Oryctolagus cuniculus: one gene and its partner. The protein of the gene in region 2 interacts with the protein of the main gene of each other region in a pairwise test. Links are inferred from orthologs where the notes say so. Each region holds a gene or a part of one and is shown on either strand. Other genes may lie near its edges.

Evidence for each region. The genes of interacting proteins can lie anywhere in the genome.
Region 1: the proteins of NAIF1 (region 2) and SOX14 interact in binary tests that used the Homo sapiens proteins (3 or more experiments, as listed by UniProt). The two-hybrid records come from large-scale screens. The link is inferred for Oryctolagus cuniculus from reciprocal best matches to the Homo sapiens genes NAIF1 and SOX14.

What each region holds. Positions count from the first base shown.
Region 1 is NC_091435.1:143,915,019-143,924,932, reverse strand, and holds SOX14 (transcription factor SOX-14), read left to right. Parts: upstream 1-4,666; 5' UTR 4,667-4,886; coding exon 4,887-5,609; 3' UTR 5,610-6,451; downstream 6,452-9,914. UniProt on the Homo sapiens protein: Acts as a negative regulator of transcription.
Region 2 is NC_091432.1:231,416,231-231,426,536, forward strand, and holds NAIF1 (nuclear apoptosis-inducing factor 1), read right to left. Parts: upstream 5,565-10,306; 5' UTR 5,547-5,564; intron 5,406-5,546; exon of another isoform or gene 5,285-5,405; intron 5,161-5,284; 5' UTR 5,144-5,160; coding exon 4,633-5,143; intron 3,328-4,632; coding exon 2,855-3,327; 3' UTR 1,281-2,854; downstream 1-1,280. UniProt on the Homo sapiens protein: Induces apoptosis.

The sequences.
Region 1 (9,914 bases), on a different chromosome or scaffold from region 2:
AGACAAGTGCTAAGAAGCAATGGGGGCAAGGGAAAGATGATGGTCTAATTTACATTCAGTGGCACAGCTGGTTAAAGCCCCAGCCTGCAGTGCCAGCATCCCATATGGGAGCCAGTTTGAGGCCTCGCTGCTCTACTTCCATCCAGCTCTCTGCTATGGCCTGGGAAAGCAGTAGAAGACACCCCAAATCCTTGGGCCCCTGCACCCATGTGGGAGACCAGGAAGAAGCTCCTGGCTCCTAGCTCCTGGCATCAGATCAGCTCAGCTCTGGCTGTTGTGATCATTTGGGGAGTGAACCAGAGGATGGAAGACCTTTCTCTCTCTCTCTCTCTCTCTCTCTCTCTCTAATCTGTAACTCTTTCAAATAAATAAAAATAAATATTTAAAAAAATAATTATTTACATTGAGTGGTCAGGAGCCAGCCTTATGACATTAAAGTCAAAATATCATAAATTCTGGTGTATGATTTAACCAAGCACATTATGCCCTGAGGTCACCCCTAATGCTGGCTCCCGCGTTATTGGCGCTCAGAGGAGGACCAGAGGAGCTCGCCGGCAGCTTAGCCTCTGAGTGCCCCTGGCGCTCACTCTCCCAGCTGTGCGCAGGCTCCCCAGAATCGGCACCTGCGACTTCACTCAGTTCCTCGCCCGAAACCCCGAGGGGCCACAAGAACCAGGAAGGAATGGTACCGCTGAGTGCTGAGCACAGGGCCTGTGGCACGCAGGCAACTCCCCCGCTCTCTTCCGAAAGCCTCCGGGTCTCAGCGCCACCTGCCCTCTTCCCTTCCACCTTCAATGGCCTAATCCAAGCCAAGGTCTGCGCAGCTTCCTCGGAGCACTCAGCCTTTTCCCAGTCCCACCGGCCTGGGAACCATGAGCTCTGCCCACCAGACAGGACGGGATGGAGTGCGGAGCGGAGCCTGGAGGCCAGGCAGGTGGGTACAGGCCTCGAGGCCCCAGACTTCCGCTTGGGTCTCTACTGGGCTGCTGCGGGGCATCAGGGGAGGGAGGTGTGTGCACAACGTTTACCTGGGCCTGGGCAGAAAGAAACATCAGTGAGCGTCAGGAGTTGCGTGCCCATTGGACACCCAAAGATGCGCGCCACGCAGCCCTGCCCTCGCAGAGTTCGAAGGCTGGTGCACTGTCCCGGCTGCGACAGTCCTAAGCGACGCTGAGTAAGTGTGAGCGGGGCAAAGTGGAAGCAGTCCCGGCCCAGCGGGTGATTAGCCTTAACTGACACTTGAGGTCTGCAAAGGAGTTGGGACAAAAGAGGAAAGAGGCGCCCTGTGAAGGCTCCAAGCCTCCAAAGAGCAAGGGGCACATCCTGGACCCTGGGCGCGGCGGAGGGAAGCCGGAGGAGAGGAGAGACTCCCCAGGACAACCTCCTGCCCCTGGACTGGAGCAGGGAGGGTTCGCTGACAGAATTCGCGTTGTTCGGGGCTTCAGACACCCAGCTAAAGCCCGCAGGCCGCGTGCCTGGAGTCGCGGAGTCAAAAAATGAATCCCGCGTTCAGGACATGCAGAAGAAGAGATCTCATCCCAGAGATGCCACCGGCCTGGGGAATGGGATGGCAGCCTGAGGCCTGAACGGCAGGCTGCGGCCAGAGCTAGAGGAGCCTTTAGGGAACGCTCCGTCCTAAGGCCTTTGGGCTATGGCAAAAGCTGCTGGATCTCCTCCCCAGGGGTCACCTCTCCTGAACTCGCTGGCGGAAACGCACAAGTCGGAGTGATGACCCAGCTGGAGACAGCGCCAGCCGGGACCCCGGAATCATCGGGTCTCCTGCGCCCAGCCGCCTGAGGAGTCTGGAATGGACCCATGGACTCCCAGGACTCCACAGGATGGGCGCGGCTGGGCAGGTCGTCCAGGAGGTAGCAGATGCGCGGCCTGAAAGGTGTCGCCCTCCGCTCGGGCTTCCCTAGGCTAGAGGCTGGCGCCCGCCCGAGTCATTGCAACCCGACCAGGAAGCATGGGGCCCCGGGCGCCCTAGAGGTGGAGGGCCTTCTGCCCACAAACTGCCTGCCACCCTTGGCTCGCTCTTTGGGATAATCCGCACCGGCTCGCAGATAGCTCTTGGGTTGTGAGTAGCTCTTGGATTGCTCCCTAGGGCTGAGCTCAAGAGGCTGGAGAGGAGCGCGGTGCTTAGAAGAGGAAATAGGAGGCATTGAAGGAGGGCGTGCGACTGTCTTCCTCGCGACCACTGGAACGGGTCGGCCTGAAGGCTGAGCTAAGAGAAACATCCAGGACAGCGTGCTTAAGCAGTTTCCAAGAGGTTGATTTGCATTAACCCAAACCTCGGGCAGTGGGTGCCGCGTCCCGCGGAGGGTTCCAAAGTGGGAAATTGGTTGGTCCCTGCTGGAAGCTGCGTCTCTCTGCAGACTTGAATATCCTTTGGTTCCTTCCCAAAGCTGTCTGGGTTGCCCAATAGAGTTAGAATCGCGTGGCCCCTGCACCTCCTAACCCTGACTGGCTCTGGGCGTTTGGCACCGCTAGGGGTTGCCTGCGATGTTTGGAAAGCCGCCCTCACCTGGAATGGAAAGTGCTTCTGCTTCTTGAAGTCCCACACTGAGTGCAGAGAAAACAAGGACGGAAGGCCAGAAGCAGGCTTCCGGAGGGTGGTCCCAGCTACCGTTGAGAAGGAATGCAAAGGTTGGTGCACCTGCTCCTCAACCCGCGCGGAGGTGACGCTGGTGGTTGGGAGTGCTTGCTTAAGCAAGCCGGTTCTCCAACTGGAGCCTAAGCGAACAAAAGCGAAATCTGTCCTTTGGCGCAGTTTATCTACAGGGCAGGTTTCGATGGCTCCAATAGTCTCGTCAAAGGTTCCACCACGTTTGGCAGCTGCACAGACAAATCCTCTCACGTGACGCCGCCGGGATGGGGGAAGTGTAGGGGTTTTCAAATCCTCCTATACACCGGGTCTCATCACCTCCCACCAGCGTCACTTTGGGCAAATCACAGAACCTTTCCTCGATCTCAGTTTCCCAATCTGTAAAATGGGGGATAGTGCCCATCTCTCTAAAGATCCATGCTGAGGGTAAAAGAGTCTAATTTTAGGAGGGAGACTCGAAGTCCTCAAACTCCATACAGCACATGCTAGCGACAGACCCTCCCCTGCTGCCTCCCGCCTACCTCCCCCACTCCTGGCTGACTGAGCCGGTGCGGGGTTTCCGGCCCGTCCTCCCGAGAGAGGCTGGTGCAAAAGCCAATAAGCCTGGAACACACGCAGGTCCCTCCGGGCCCGGGACAATAGTTTCCATTTAATAAATATTTCCCCCAAGGGCATTTCACATCGGGCAGGCAATTATTCAAAGGAAACAGGCGCGCAGGTTGGCTCTGCGGGTTATTTCGTCCTCTTTACCCGAAGAATGCTCATCTGACTCTAGAAACGAGTCTCGCTGCCTCGCTGGGTGGGAAGAGGCGCCCAGGGACAAACCGAGCCCGGCTGCAGCTACAGCCGGAGACTGCTCTAGGGCCGCCGTTGAAGCGGGGCTGGGAAGCCCCACCACCGCCGCCGCCGCCGCCGCCAGCTGCCGCCAGCCGTCTCTACCTGTTTGGACAATCGAGGAGGGAAAGTTGAAGGTTTACGAGCATTAAATAATAGCAATATAAATGGGAACCCTGATGGAAATCCAACCCTCCTCCACTTCTTTCTGGGAAGTGGGGAGCAGGTCGGGGGCGCGCTGAAGGGCGCATCGGCCGGGATTCGAAGCCTCTGCAGCTGCGCCCGCGAGGTTTCTGGGCGTCGGCTCGCTGCACAGGGCTCCCCTTCGGGCCCGGGGCGCAGAGCTACACCCTGGCGCGGCGTCCTGGGGCAGCCGCAGAGACCCAGCCTCAGGGGAGTCCTGAGAGAACACTGCCAATGGACCCCCGGTGGTCTAGCGCGAAAAGTTTATTTCTCTTTTTACCCTGAGTTTGATGTATTCTTTTCGCTCTTCCAAGGATCTTTGGCAAGGGAGGGGAGTGCTGTCCTTGCATTTCGTGGCGAGATTGTCCTATTTATCAACACAAGCTCTGCCTCGCTCCCTTTTTTGTCCCCTACCCGGATCTCGAAATTCGAAGCACTGATTCTCCCTGGCACAACTGGGAAAGAGTGCGGGAGACGCGAAGAGTTTTGCTGACAGTCCAGAGACAATAAGGAACCCAGGCCCCCAGCCCTGAGCCAGACGCTCGGTTCTCTGGCTCTCCGGGTCTCTCTCCCCCTCACACCTCTCCCCGCCCCCGCTGGTCGCACTCGGTCTCTCCTCCACCCGCGTGTTGGCAGGTGCGCCCCCCCACCCCCGCCTTCTCTGCTGCTGATTGGCGCCCAGGTTGGGGAGTCGCCGCCCCGCGCTTATGTCAGAGTGCGTGCCGTCCGGGCCCACCTCGCCTTTGAACTTCGCCGCTTTGGGCTCTCCTTCACCAGCCTCCCCGCATTCTCAGCCAGGTGCAGCGCTGGGCGAGGCAGCTCCGGGAAAGCCACGGGCGGGGGGAGCTACGGCCAGAGGCGCAAGAGGAGAGAAGGGAAGGAGAGAAGGCGAAGGTGGAAAAGGGGGAGAAGGAGGAGCTTCCTGCCCTCGCCAGAAAATTACCTGGCCACTCCACACCCGAGACTCCAGCACTTGGGCCCAGCCTCTGGCGCCCGCAGTCGCCAGCCGGTCGCCCTTGCCTCCCCCACCCCCGCCCATCTGCCCCCCACTCGCCCCCCGGGGGCTGCCTGGGTGCTGGGACTGGCATGATCAGCTGAACTTTGTGGGGGGTCAGCTCTTCTCTCCGGCTTCCCCTCAGCAGCGCCGAGGTGAGGGGAGCGCAGAGCCCCGGGTCAGGACGGACAGACAGACGGCCAACTGCGCCCAAGCTCGCCCTCGGAGGCCCTGCACTCCCCACCCCCGCCCGCCTAAGCCGCCGGGACCATGTCCAAACCTTCAGACCACATCAAGCGGCCCATGAACGCCTTCATGGTATGGTCCCGGGGCCAGCGGCGCAAGATGGCCCAGGAAAACCCCAAGATGCACAACTCGGAGATCAGCAAGCGCCTAGGCGCCGAATGGAAGCTTTTGTCCGAGGCAGAAAAGCGGCCATACATCGACGAGGCCAAGCGGCTACGCGCCCAGCACATGAAGGAGCACCCCGACTACAAGTACCGGCCGCGGCGAAAGCCCAAGAACCTGCTCAAGAAAGACAGGTATGTCTTCCCCCTGCCCTACCTGGGCGACACGGACCCGCTCAAGGCGGCTGGTCTGCCCGTAGGGGCCTCCGACGGCCTCCTGAGCGCGCCCGAGAAAGCCCGGGCCTTCTTGCCGCCGGCCTCGGCGCCCTACTCCCTGCTGGACCCCGCGCAGTTTAGCTCGAGCGCCATCCAGAAGATGGGTGAAGTGCCCCACACCTTGGCCACCGGCGCGCTGCCCTACGCGTCCACCCTGGGCTACCAGAACGGCGCCTTCGGCAGCCTCAGCTGCCCCAGCCAGCACACGCACACGCACCCGTCCCCCACCAACCCGGGCTACGTGGTGCCCTGTAACTGTACCGCCTGGTCTGCCTCCACCCTGCAGCCCCCCGTCGCCTACATCCTCTTTCCAGGCATGACCAAGACTGGCATAGACCCTTATTCGTCAGCCCACGCCACAGCCATGTAACCCCCGGCCTGGCCCGGACCGGAGGGGTGGCCTGGAAGCGGGGTTTGCACCCTGTCCTCTGCACCTAGCCCTGCCTGGCCTGCAGAAGCCTCTGGGTCAGCCCTGCCGCCGCCCCTTACCCGGTCCCAGACTCGGCCTCTCTCTTCCAGGGAGAAGGGAGGGGCGTCCTACCGACCAGAGGCGTGGACAGGTGCAGAAACTTGCAGACGTTTTGACAGCTGCGCTGCCCCTATCCTGACTCTCCCCCAAATCTCCGACTGTACCCCCTTTGGACAAAGAAGTAGGCAATTTTGCTTTATTTATCTCCCCTTCACTCTCCTCGGATAGGCTTTGGACTCCGAACTCCCAGATCCTGGTATTATATCTAGAATATGCATATATATATATTTTTTTCCTCTTCTGCCCCTGAAGAAAAAAAGAGTTGGCTGTTTCTCTGTGTCTTGCCATCAGACACAACCAAGCGCCATTTATTCTTCATGTTTGGGAAAAAAGGCTTAAAAGTTTTAAACTACAGCAAGGGAACCATTTCTATTTAAAACCATGCTATGATATAGTGTTTGCTTCTTTAAAGGGAAAACAAGAAGGACCCACATGGTTATTTACTTTGTGTCAAGCAGTGTTCCTAGAGACCTAAGTTTACTGTTAGACAGAAAATCGGGTTCCGAAGTCAGGAAGTGGAAAGTGAACAACAACAAAAGGATTAAAACATCCTAAATAATGGTAAATGTTTTGACGATGTCTTGGAAATGTACCTGGAAGGATTTTACCTCGTTACTCTGTTCATTTGTTGAACAAAGACGTTTTGAATAAAGACAATCTGTCGTTGCAAAAAGTAACCTTTGATGTGCCTAAAAATCTGGAGTCAGGAGGCCAGGGCAGCGGGGCCGGGGAGTCGGGTCGCGGGGAGGCGCCTTGGGCAGTGATCGCTGGCGGCTGAGCTGCGCGTTGCGCTGGCCGAAGCTGGCGGCCTGCGAGCCGGCTGCGAAGTGACCTAGAGTCTGAGATCCCTCAGGATCACGCCCGGGGGATCCGTTCTAGGCCTTTATCCATCCCTGGGACGTCGCTCCTGGCCCCATTCTTCACGAAAGGGTTAGGCCACTCCGAGAAGCCAATGAACCAAGACAAAGGCCGAGTCTGGGTGCGTTAACTTTTCTAAACCAAACTCGAAAGGAATGGGGAGAAGCGCCGATTCTCCCGGGAACCAGTTGCGCGCGGAGCACCACGGCCTGCGGTGGACCTTTAAGTTCAAGGCTCGGGGGAAGCCGGGTGGAATCGATTTGCTTTTCTTTAGGTGTCTGGAAAAACTGCCGCTGGCTCCTATGGGGAATCTGGCTATTAGTCCCTAAGTTAGAAAATAAAAGCCTAAGAAATGCCAGAAGACGCGACCTAGCTCTGCGTCCCGGATGGTCAGAGACTTTTTACTAAGACCATTTGGGAGCAAAGGGAAGAGACAGGCGATATTGGCATGGCTCAGGCAAGGAGTTTTTCTAAAAAAAAAAAAAATCATAAAAACCAAATAACTCGCGTTTAACAAACAAGGAAAGGAGCCCTTCGCTTTCCCTTCTGGGTGAATATTTGTTTACTTGAAGATTACTGCTTTTCCCGAGGAGAGGGGACCCTGATGCCAGCCAGCACAACTCTCTGGAACTTCTTCTCAAAATCAAAGGCGCTCCCCACCCTCTGTCTCCTGCGAGTCTCGCCCCCACCGCCTCGCTCACGCGTGTTCTCCCGCAGGTCGCGCGCTCTTCTCGCTGGCCGCGGTAGGGTGCGGGTTGGGGGTGGGGCAGCCCAGGCGCTTGCAGGCTTGCCGCGGCTGCTGCTGCTAGGGGGTGGGGACTGGGGACTCCAAAGGAGGCTGTGGTTCGAGGTGCAGGGGAACCGTTGTCAGCAGACACCCAAGCCGGAGCCCGCGGATTAGCATATTGTCCTCAAAACAATTACAAGTGTTTGAGGTGCTGTTTGGATCCTATTCATCCTAGCCCCTTTGTCAAAGGGGGATTTTCATTATTAAAAAAAAAAAAAGTTAGCAGTTGTCCATCTGGCTGAGCTGAATGGCAAAGTGATTCGTGTTGTATATGCTTTTCTCATTAAGAGCTCTTTTGAGACCGATGTTAGAATTAAATGGTATAACACAATTAACATACACGGGAGCTGAATAGGAGGGGACGCCTATAAATAATAGATAGATAAATAAATGAGCGATCAGGCGAAGGTAAACAAAGGCGAGCTTGGGGGAGGCGCGGGGGAGGCCGGGAGGGCTGCGCTACGCTTACTTAGCATCACAAAACCCTCTTACAAATAGAGACAATTAGGAAGTGACTTGCCTCTGGTGGCCGTCCGGTCCCGGGCCCCGGGCGCACAGGGAAGGCCCCTCCTCCCGCCCCCTAGGAAGCCCAGGAGGCCCGGGGCGGAGGCGCTGCGGTTTCGCTGTCTGATGTATCCCCAAACTGACAGTCCTGTCAGGCGCTCTGAGCTCCCTCATAGCTCAGTGTCCCTTAACATCTCTTAAGATGAAGCTTCCAGGGGTCTGAGTGTCTCCCTGCAGAGCCCAGCGCGGCGGCGCCCAGCCCCCGGGAGGAGTCCAGCGCGCTCGGCCCCACAAGGGTGCCCCGCCAACTCCGAAGTAGGGTTAGGCTGGAAACTGGGCACCCGGCCGGGCCGAGAGCGGAAGAACTCTGGCGGCGGCCGAAGCTGGAACACGGAAACGAGCGTTCCCGATTGCGCCGGCCCTGGGGACTCGGAGGGGAGCTCTGGGAAGCTAGGGTGCGCTGTGGCCGAGAGGTGCCCGCACTTCTATCCAACCCGCACGGAACGGGGGTCCAGCGTGGGCCCGGCGACCCGAAGCCTCAGGCCTGGCTCAGGCCGTCTCTGCCCAGCACGCCTCGCTCCCGCCGGTCCCCGCCTCGGCCCCCGCAGGCCGCAGAGACTCTGCTGAGGTGCGCGGCCGCGACTCGCCCTCGGCACCAGCCGCAATCCTCCCCGTCACGCCTCTGACAGGGGCCGATTACAGACTTTGAAGTCAGGCGCAGACAAAAAAGAAATCCCCTGAGGGTGTATGTGTGTGTGTTGGGGGGGCCGCCCCTGTCAAACCTGTTTGCTCACAACTGTCTCTTTCTTTCAAGAAAATCATTAAAGCAAACCTGTAGGGAGAGGAGCGCCCCGCCCGCGCGGAAGTCCAGAAGAGCCGCGACGCGCGGCCCGGAGCAGCCTGGAGTCGCACGGCAGGGACTCCGGGCGTCGGGAGGACGCGACTCGGCGGCCCTGGGGGCTCCCGGGACCCCGCTCCGGGGGACTGCGCCGCCGCCTCGGCGCTAGGCACGCGGCCCCGCAGCCAGGGAGCTACACGCCTGGGCCTCCCCGGAGCAGGGGTACCCAGGAGGCCCCAAGCCTCCTGCCTGTGGAGCCCTTGTTTCTGGGGGACAAAAAAAAAGTTGACCCCAACAACATCCGCGCTCGCCCCGCCGCCGCTGTGCTGGGCGTTTCTCAGCACCGCGGAGAGCTCCATGGCGCGCTCTCGGGCTGGCGGCCTGGCGCGGCGCGGGAGGAGGGCTTGGGTTTTTAGCAAGGGTTTCTTGGCGCGGGGGTACACTGGCCACGTCTTCTGAGACACGCGGGTACCTTGGCCTACGTCCTCTCCGCGGGGGGATCAGAAACCGTGATTCCCTTCAGTTCCCAAGTTTTCCTGTTTAAGTGCCAATTTCCTCAGAAGCGCTGTGACGGCCAGCTACTGTGTGTAAATCGCGCCGAGGTGTGAGTGACTGACCTCCGAGGCTGTGGCAATGCCTGCGTGTTAAATCGTGTTAATCGCGCTGGTGTTTCAGTCAGGGCAGGGTTCCCAGAACACCGCACGCACCTAGGTTAAGCGGCTCCCGCCAGGGCAGCTTCTCTGGCAAAACCTGAGACTTCTCGGGGCGCGGTGCGGGGTGGGAGTGGGGGTCCTGAACACTTGGCGGGCAGCAGCGCCTGGACTGCCCTCAAGAACTCTCCCGCCACCCTCCCCCCACCTCGCTCCTGCCCTGCCCTGCCCAGGCTGGTCACCATTGTTCAAGTGGGCAATGAATCGCAAGTCCTTTGAATCTGAACGTGGCGGGATTCGCAAGATCCACGTTCGGAATGCTCACTTCTTTCTTTGCTGAGTGGGCTGGGTGCGTTTGTGAGTGTGGGAGAGGAAGAGGACCCCGTTAGCTGGGTGCTTGCCGCTTCCGCCGAGGGCCCGCTCGCCCTGACCTCTGGCCCTTGCCCTGGCCTCGCAGACTCTCGCCCACCATGCGGCAGGAGCGCTCCTTGAGCTGGTTCCATTCCTGG
Region 2 (10,306 bases):
CGGGGGCTCCCAGGGGGGCTGCCTGGGAGCCCCGCGTGACCTAGCAGCTTGTCAAGATCAGGCTCAAATCAACTCTAGGTGCTGTCACATCCTGCCACGAGGTGGGAGGAGCTAGGCCAGGAGGGAGGAGCTAGGCCAGGAGGGAGGAGCGGGGGCTGTGTGGCTTCGGGCAGCTTGTCTGACCTCTCTGATGCTCAGTGCCCTCATCCGCACACTGAGGACACCGTGTGCACCGACGTCCTGGGGCTGTCGCGAGGAGTCAGTGAGATCCTGCTCAGGCTGGGTGGAGGGCGGTCCCCTCCCTGTCACCACTGCTAGATGTTGGGGAGCGTGGCCCCGGGTCCAGGGAGGCCGAGCCCTTGGGAGCCAAGGCGCGTGTGTCCCCGGATGGGAACCTGTCCTCCCTGGGGCAGGGTGTGGCTCCCAGCTGCGTTTGAGTCTATGTAGGAGTCTGTCTCAGCTTTCCAGTGAGGCCTGGGTTGGGTAATTCTCCCCCAGACTGTGTTCTAATAAAACTTTATTCACAAAAATAAATGCCGGGGCCGGCGCCGTGGCTCACTAGGCTAATCCTCCATCGCGGTGCTGGCACCCGGGGTTCTAGTCCCGGTTGGGGCGCCGGATTCTGTCCCGGTTGCCCTCTTCCAAGCCAGCTCTCTGCTGTGGCCCGGGAGTGCAGTGGAGGATGGCCCAAGTACTTGGGCCCTGCACCCCATGGGAGACCAGGAGAAGCACCTGGCTCCTGGCTTCGGATCAGCGCGATGCGCCGGCTGCAGCGGCCATTGGAGGGTGAACCAACGGTAAAGGAAGACCTTTCTCTCTGTCTCTCTCACTGTTCACTCTGCCTGTCAACATAAATGAATAAATGCTGGACCACATTTGGCCTGTGTGCCATAGTCTACCCGCTCCTGCTCTCTTCTGTTTATAAACAATAAAAAGATAAAGAAATGGGGGCCGGCAATGTGGTGCAGCAGGTGAAGCCACAGCTTGCTACATGGACACCCAACATGGGCCCTGGTTCAAGACCCAGCTGCTCCACTTCTGACCCAGCTTCCTGCTCATGCGCTTGGGGAGGCAGAAGATGGCCCAGGTGTCTGGGCTCCTGCCACGCAGGTGGAGTTCCTGGTTGCTGGCTCCTGGCTTCAGCTTGGCCCAGTCCTGGTTGTTGAGGTCATTTGGGGAGCAAACCAGCAGGTAGATCTCTTTCTCCTTCTCTCCCTGTAACTGCCTTTCAAATAAATAAATCTTAAAAAAAAAAAAAAAAAAAAAAAAGACACGGAGATGTGTGTATGAAAAGTGATATCCCTTTAATTTAAAATCGTGACCTGGAAGGAACGAGTCCATGTGAGCGACCCAGGCTTCCTCGTTCTACCCACGTGGAGCAGACACAATCCTGGCTCAGATTTCTAACCCCAGAGAAAAACCAAACCAAGCCACAGAGCCTTAGCAAGTTCCTGCTGGGGCCCCCAGGCTGCACGGAGTGAGCATGCCCAAGCTCTGGGGGCTGCTGCTTGCCTTCCGCCGCCCACCCTCGTGGGGCCGGAGCCGCCTCCACCCCGCCGGAGCTGGTGCTGCCCGCGTGCCCCCCCGGCTGTCGTGGGGGCCACCTCCCAGTGTGTGTAGCAGTGCAGCGGAACAGTTCCAACACTGTGCCCAGAAGGGCATTTTCAGCGCAGGCGCAGCTGAGACCCGCAGCCTTCTCTTTGGACCGTGGGTCACGCGTGGCCAAGATGCCTGTGACAAGGCCGCCCCTGGAGGAAGGGTCTGGGGAGGTGCAGGGGCCCCGGTAATCGAGGGGAGCCTGACGATGAGACAGGCAGATGCCCTCTGGGTGCTGTCCTTCCAAACAGGGCGCAGTGCTCCCGCAGCGTGCCCCCAGCTCAGCTGCGCCCCTCCCACCCCCCACATGCAGGGACCCTCATGGCGTTGGGTCCACTCGGCCACAGGGCGTCTCGCCAGCACTCGAGGTCCTGAATGGCACAGTGAGGGAGGAGACTCCGAGCTGGGCTGTTCGGCGCTCGATTTTGGAAACGTGGTCAGAGGAGAGGACAGGAGAAAGGGGCTGGCCACAGAGCTGCCTTCCCGGAGGGGTTCAGAATAAATACAAGGAGCTCGAAGCTACTTCTTCCGGAAGGAACTACCAGGTTGCCCCAGGCCCCTGCTGCAGGGCAACAGCGCCCACCCCGGTTTGTTCTACAATGGACAGCACCCAAAGCTTGACCTGAGTCGGCAGCTGCAGGGGCAGGCCACCAGCGGGCTGCCCAGAGACGCTGCGGAAGACCAGAGCGCCGCCCGGCCACCCCCACGGCGCACGGCAGGCCCGAGCTGGGCTGCCTGCAGCTGGGTGGGTTGCGGAGGCCGTGCCCGGGCGCAGGAGCAGGAATCCCCTGAGAACAGAGGCACAGTGAGAAGCAGCTGGGGGCAGTGCCCTCCTCAGGCTCAGCCGGGCCCCCTCCCCAGGGAAGACGCCATTACCGCCTGTCCGGCAGCACCGCTGGCCAGAGCTCCCTCAAAGGGCTGGCATCTGCAGCGGACGGCCCAGCGTGGGGCCCGGCTGGGAGATGGCGCAGGGAGGGCCGGCTGCCTTCTACAGTTCTCTGAGACCCGGTATGGGGCGTGTCCCACCCCCAGCACACAGGGCGCGACCCCTTAGCTATCCCATCTTCCGGATCGAGCGGGGTGAGAGCGAGAGAGTTGGGGTCCCAGGAGCCCAACAGGTTCCTCTTCCTGGTCTCCTTCATGTCTCAAAACCCGCAGACCCTCCGTGTCCATCAGAGAGAGGGCTGTCCACATGGCCCACCAATCACAGAAGCCGCTTACGAGACCCCGGAGGTTTCCTCCAATCACAGCCCTGCCCTCACTGCATGATGCTGTCCGGCTGCCCGTTCTGGGCCACCTGTCCGGGCTCAGAGGCGGAGGCCGGGCTGGGCGTGTTACTCTGCAGGTAGCGGCGGAAATCTTTGATCATGGGCCGGAGGACCTGGATGAGCACGCTCAGGGCCGCCTGGGTGCCCTCCATGGCCTGGGCCTGGCGCTCCTGGGCACAGGCCTGCACCTCCTGGGAGCGGCGGATCATCTGCAGCAGGTCGTTCTGCTGCTCCAGGTGCTGGGCGATCTCCTTCACGTGCAGGTTGGTGACCCGCTGCTCCTGGATGAGCTTGGCCGAGTTGAGGGCGATGCGACTCTTGAGTGCCTGCGGCTTGACGGGCGTGTCCGCGTGCTGGGCCATCATCTCCACGGGCGCCTCGGCCGGCAGGGCTGGGGGCGCCTCAGCCGTGCAGTACTCCACCACGCCCTCCTCCAGCGTGTGGTAGGTGGTCTCTGTGGGGACTGCAGGGGGAGAAAGAGCCAAGGCAGGGGCAGGTCACTTTCTGGAAGGGATGCAGGTAGCCGTGAGGGGTGGGGAGGAGGCCCTGGCTTATAGAGAGCCCGATGTTTGCCATCTTAACCTTGGTCGCCAAGGGGACTTGGCAGACGCAAAGACACCAGTAATGGTGCTCCCCAAAGTTGCAGGGCACCCGCTAGGGGCCAGGATCTGTGAATTCTTTACCTGCCGTGAGGCCGCTTCTGGCTAGCAGGGGGCATCAGAGGCCGGGCTTCAGGCGCCTGCACAAGCTGTTTGCAGCCGCACCAGTCCTACCTCCTTGGCTGCCTTCCTGGCGTCCATGTCCCCCGTAACCAGACAGAAACAAGCGAGAATGGAACAGCATCGGCTAGCGTGCCCAGCCAACACCTCCCTGTCTTTCTGGTCACCCTGGTCAGAGGGGTACCGGAATCGCCATCCTGTTCCAGAATAGGACCTGACCGAGACCGCGGTCTCTGTACGTGACACTGCAGGGGGATGGCACTCACACACACGGCCAGCTCCTCCAGCCCCGCTGGGACTCACTGGCTGATGCAGTTCCTAGCCCGGCACACATCAGCAGAGGTCACAGCCACGGGCACAGCCCCTCATCTCAACTCCAAGCCCCAGCCCGAGGTAGATCTGCTGTCAGCCACAGCACAGAACTTCCAGGAATCCCAGCTGGGCTGCCGGAGCCTGAGTGCACAGGGACCTGTGCACCCCGCCCCGCCAGCCAGGAAGCCCCTTCCTCTTCTGAGTCTTCAGGCCTTCCCAAGTGCTGGTGGACCTGCTCACTCACGCCCTCATCCGTCCTCCCAGCCCTGAACCGGCCTGTGTTTTGCACTCCCAGCACACACGGCGTAAGAGCCAGCGCTCGCGGAATGGGTGAATGAATGAGCAGGTGGCTCCAGGAGTCTGGAGGCTCCCTGCTCCGCCCTGGAAACACAGAACCCCTCTGTCTTTGTGTCCCTGGGGCACTATGATTGCCCTCTAGTCACCCCACACATACGTCCTGTCACGGCCTCTGTCTTCAGGGACCACACAGCTCAGCAGGTGGAGCTCAGCCACAAGCATGAATGGTGGCCAAACGCAGGAGAGCGCCACTCGGCCCCCAGGGAGTCCACTCCACGTGCTGAGGAGGTCCCAAAGAGGTCAAGATCATTGCTGCCTTGGGGAGCCCCCGGAAGGGGCCCCCTCTGACCTTTGACCCTCGGCAGCCCATCTTCCCCAGGCAGCCCCAGCGCTTGCTGGCCCTTCCCATCCACGCCGAACTGAGCAGAGAGGTCACTCACTCTGTGTCAGGGTGACCGTGGCCGCGGCTGCAGTGGCCGTGGGTCCGAGGGCCACGGGGTGGATCTCTGTGGCACTGGGCAGGCTGATGATGGTGGCCTCGCCCAGCAGGTTGCAGATGCGCTGTTGCATGGGGGTCAGGAGCACGGGGGCTACCGCCGGGCCACCGCCGCCACCGGCACCACCTGTCCCTGGCCCACCGGCGCCATCCTCCTCAGTGGGCCCCGGGGCCTCGCCACCTTCCACGGCGGCCCGGACCTGGGCGACCTTGCGCCGGACCTCGGTCTTGAGGTCTGACCACTTCTTCTTGACCTCAGGCAGCTCCCTCCGGCAGGTGGCCACGGCGTTGACCCTCCTCAGGATGCCGTGCCAGGCCGCGCTCTTGGCGGCCAGAGGGACCCCAGCGTTGAAGTGGTTCACCAGCAGGTGCTTCTTCAGCTCCAGCTCCTCCACGATGATCTCCACCTCCCGCTCAGAGAAGTTCATCTTCCTCTTCTTGGCTGGCACGGCCATGGCCACTACCTTCCTCTCTTAAAAAAAAAAAAAAATTGTAATTCTCTCACCTGCCTCAATTCCCCTTTCTCCTTCCTCGGCCTCACCCTTCGCCCACCCACCCCCACAGGGGATAGGCTCGGCTTGCTCAAGGCCAAGTACCAGGACTTTAGTAACCCCCCTCGCTACGCAAAATGCGTAGGGCCCAGCCTCGACCCGCCCGGCCGCGGCCAGCCAGCTGCGTAATGGCTTCCTGAATCTGCCTCTTCCGCCGGGGTGTGCGGAGATCCGCCCATTTCCCTTCTTCCCGCCTCCCAGTGCTTCTCCAGGAGAACCCGCCCCCCCCGATTGGGCGAAGCTCAAGTATCGCGTCGGTCACTGGCTTGTTCGGTCGGTCGCTCAGCTAAAGAGTACGCCTACTTACTGGAATTAGCCTTTTCATTGGTCTACGGGTATGTCTGTCGCTCGAGAGCGCTCCGCCCACCTAGCCTTTATTCACTTCTATTGGAAAGTCGTTCTGTCGTTCAATTATCAGTATTACGACCATTACGCCGTTAAATTCAGCTATTTTATTGGTGGTCTAGGGAGTTAGATTATCAAAACCCGGTATCCTAAGGATACTTGGTGCCTTCGCTCATTAATTTTTAATTCCACCCACAAGCACAAACTGCCTCACATCTGCAGTTCACGATTGCTCTCCTGATAGTTCTATTTTCCACGGAAGGCTACGACCGCTCCAACCAGCCTTACGCTTCCGCAGCCTTAAACTGCGTCTCTCAAGGGAAATTGGACACGAGGCCTTCCGCCTGCCAATCACACGACTTCGGCCTATCGCTGCGTGAATGCATGCTTCTCCGGCCGGCTCAGCCAATCCCCGCCTCGCTCAGTTTGAATCGGCCCCGGGCTGAGCAGGGACGGCCCCGCCTTTTCCATCGATCCGGGTAGTTCTCAGGCAGGCTCCGCCCCGCGGCCCGCCCAGTCCCGGTCGCCGTCCCGGCCTGTGACTGGCCGGAGGTCGGCCCGGGGGCGTGGCCCGGGAGGCGTGGCGCGGCGGGGCGGGGCTCCCGGAAGCGGCCCCTCCCGCCAGCTTGCCGGCTTCTGGGAGCCCGCGCTCGCCGTCCGAGGAGACCGGCGTGCCTTCCGCGCCGCCCGCCGGCCCGCCGCCCCCGCCCCCGCCCGCGCCCGGCGCCCCAGCCTCGCGCCCGATGGTGAGCAGCGTGTTGTGCCGCTGCGTGGCCTCCCCGCCGCCGGACGCCGCCGCCGCCGCCTCGTCGCCCGCCTCGTCGCCGGCTTCCGTGGGGGACCCGTGCGGCGGCGCCGTCTGCGGAGGTCCGGACCACCGGCTGCGCCTGTGGAGCCTCTTCCAGACGCTCGACGTGAACCGCGACGGCGGCCTGTGTGTCAACGACCTGGCCGTGGGGCTGCGGCGTCTCGGACTGCACCGCACCGAGGGCGAGCTCCGGGTAGGCGGCGCGCACGGTCCGTCCGCGCGGGCGGGGCGGGGGCCCCGGGGGCTTGGGTGACAGGTCCTGGCCGCGGGGGGCAGGTCTGGAGTCCGGGCGTCTCGGGCAGCCCCTTGGAGCGTGGGCGGGTCCGAGCGGAAGGCGCCGTGCCCTGGGCGGAACCCCGAGTGTTCGCAGGCTGGGGGCCGGTGACTGACAGGTGGACACCCCCCCTTCGTGCTCTGGTGGCAGTGGGCTTCCCTCCGGGCCTCTCTGGGGGCTGGGCTCTGCGGACACAGTGGGCGCCCTCCGGGCTTTCTGGTGGCCGAAAAGCTGCTTCCTGCTAAGACTTTCCCCCAAACGCAGGAGGGTGCCTTCCTCACGCTCCGACCTCCCCCGGCGCGCCCCCGCCGCCCGCGGGCCGCCAGCGGGTTCCTCTCCGAAGCGAAGCATGTGGGAGCTGGGAAAAAGGGGAACCGGGTTTCAGCAGCTCTGTGCACGTGGGTGTTGAGGCTGACAGCTCTGCTGCTGGAGGCGCCGCGCGATCCCCTGCAGGGTTGCACTGTGCACGGAGGGAAAGAACCCCAGGGGAAATTCTATACGAGAAAGTGGGGGCCACCTGAAAGGGGAGCGCATCGCTCGCGTCCTGGCCACGCTGGGGACGTCTGTGGACACCCTGGCTGCTGTCCTGGCCACTCTGGGGACGTCTGTGGACGCCCTGGCTGCTGTCCTGGCCACGCCGGGGACGTCTGTGGACGCCCTGGCTGCTGTCCTGGCCACGCCGGGGACGTCTGTGGACACCCTGGCCACGCCGGGGATGTCTCAGACTGCCAGGCGCTTCCCGTGGTAGCCTGTTAGCTCGCCGGGTCCGCCGTGCGTACAGCAGTTGGCCATCTCCTAGCTGAGCACGAACGCCAGCGACTTCAGCCACTTTGCTGGGGGGCAGGTACGAAGGGGTTAACTCCAGCCCGGGCTGTCTTGAGTCAACATCCGAGGGTTGTCACCTGCCTCCTATCAGCCTAGCAAGACCAAAGGCTGTATAGAATCGCTGGGTTAAGTCTAGGAGGTTTAGACAAGCTTTGGAATAAAAGGTTAAAGTCAGCATTACACAAAGTACTGCTGTGAGCCCCCAGGTTTTCCGGTTTGTATCTGATGAGTAAGTCACTTGGGTGGATGGGATGGCTAACTTGGGTGGGTGGGGGACGTCCAGCGAGGTGTGGGCCCGGGCCCTGGCTGCTCCTGTGAACCTGGCCCCTGACAGCCCTGCCAAGCACGCTGAGGCCATCTGCTGCGGGAGTGGCCGTGTTTGTACCACGCTTTCTGCCTCCGCGATGAGCTGTCGCGATGAGCTGGCGATTCGTGGCACATCTGACGTTGATTTGTGGCACATGTGATATTGATTCGTGGCACATGTGATATTGATTCGTGGCACATGTGATATCGATGGCCCCCAGTCTATCCTGGGGGGCAGTGAATCTGCCTACAGCGCAGCGGAGAGAGCGAGTCTTTCTCTCCCCAGTCCTGAAAGGAGGCCTGTGTTTAGCACAGGGAGCCTGGCCCCCCGGGGCCCCCTGGACTCTGGACCTGAGTTCTGTGACAGGAAGCGTTCCGTTTGTTTGAGTTGTGTGGCCTTGGCATGGACTGTTTCTAGAATCCTTTCAGCCTTGGGACAAGTTGGGTTGATACACACCTTTGAGAGGGATGATTCACTTTAGTGAGTTCATTGCCTTCAAGGGCACAGTTAGTCCTGGGGGAAACTTCACGTTTTGGAGAGAAAATCTGCCTCGTTAGTGTAACTGGGCAACTGGAAGACACCCCCTGCACCACTTCCTGTAGAATTAGCTCAGGATTAGCCGCCTCCCGAAAAAGCAGGAGCCAGAGGAGAACTTGGGGGCCCTTGGGTTCAGGATGGCTCACGTGCAGTGAGAGAAGAATTAGAAACCACAGCCACCTCTGGAAGCGCGTGCCCTGCCCCGTGGGAAGCATTTGAGATCCCACAGGAGTCAGCTGGAGAGAGGCGGAAACCCAGGCCACGTGACTCCACGGAACCTCCGGCTCTTCTAATGCCTGGGGCCAAGTTTTCTTTAAAGATGAACCAGCAAGTTTCGCTGTCTTGATTTCAGAAGAGGCTGAGACTCTCAGAGAGGAAATAAAATGACTTAAGATGGAAGTGGGCAGAGAAGCCCCGGGCGGCCAGCCAGGGGGATTTTCTTTGTGAAGGGCGAGAGAGGAAGAAACCAATCCCGGGACAAAAGGGGAGGGTTGGCCGAGGAAAGGAAAGCAGAGCAAGCTTCGAGACTCAGCCGGGTAATTACAGCATCGCCTATTTAAGGCATTTTCATGTGACCAAGCAAACTCTTTGTCTTAAAACAAATTGAAAACACAGTTTAGCCAATTATAGGAAGCAGGCAGGCTGGGCTGTGTGTAAACAGCCGGCTCTCCAGGTGTCCCGTCCTGCTCACGGTGGCTTCCGGCTGAGCCCCTGTGGGTGTGGGGGCCCGGGATGACTCTGGGAAGTGGGCAGCGCAGTAGAATGCCTTTACCCCATTCCACACGGGAGGAACACGAAACAGCCCCCAAGGTCGTTAGACTCCCTAGGGGACCACTCCAGCGCAGGAACTGGAACCCTCGTTAATTCTACCTTGTTTCTGAGGAAGATGAAGAGGACGCCCGGGATGTTCCGTCCCTGCAAGAGCAGCACCCCATATGGGAGCGCTGGTTCGAGTCCCGAATACCCTCCTTCCAACCCAGTTTCCTGCTAATGTGCCTAAGAAAGCAGTGGAAGAAGACCCGGATGCTTGGGCCCCTGCCACCCAATGTGGGAGACCTGGATGGAGTTCCTGGCTCCTGGCTTCAACCTGGCCAAGCCCCAGCTGTTGCAGACATTTGGGGAGTGAACCAACAGATGAAGGTTTTCTCTTCTAACTCAGTCCTTCAAATATATAAAATAAAGCCTTAAAAAAAAAAAAAAAAAAAAGGAGGGGCTGGTAGGTATTATAGCATAGCAGGTAACGCCACCGCCTGTGATGTTGACATCCATATGGGCGCCAGTTCAAGACCCAGCTATTCCACTTCCGATCCAGCTCTCTGCTATGGCCTGGGAAAGCAGTAGAAGATGGCCCAAGTCCCTGGGCCCCTGCCTCCCACGTGGGAGACCTGGAATAAGCTCCTGGCTCCTGGCCTTGGATCGGCCCAGCTCCAGCCATTACAGTTATTTTAGTAGTAAACCAGCAGATGGAATATTTGTCTCTCCCCATGTTTCCCTCTTTCTCTCTCTGTAAACTCTGCCTTTCAAATAAATTTTTTTTAAGATTTATTTATTTGAAAGGCAAAGTTACATAGAATGAGAAGGAGAGAGAGAGAGAGAGAGGTCTTCCATCCGCTGGTTCACTCCCCAATTTGCTGCAGCGGCCGGAGCTGTGCCGATCTGAAGCCAGAAGCCAGGAGCTTCTTCTGGGTCTCCCACGGGAGTACAGGGGCCCAAGGACTTGGGCCATCTGCTGCTGCTTTCCCAGGCCACAGCAGAGAGCTGGATTGGAAGTAGAGCAGCCAGGACTTGAACTGGCGCCCATATGGGATGGAATGTTGGCACTGCAGGCGATGGCTTTACCCACTACGCCACAGCGCCTGCCCCCAAATTAAATCTTTCTAAAAAAAGACTGCCAGACCTAGACTTTGGGTGAGCCCGAGAAAGGTAAGAAGTGATGCATTTAGAACCAAACCTTTCCCCAAAACGTCTTCC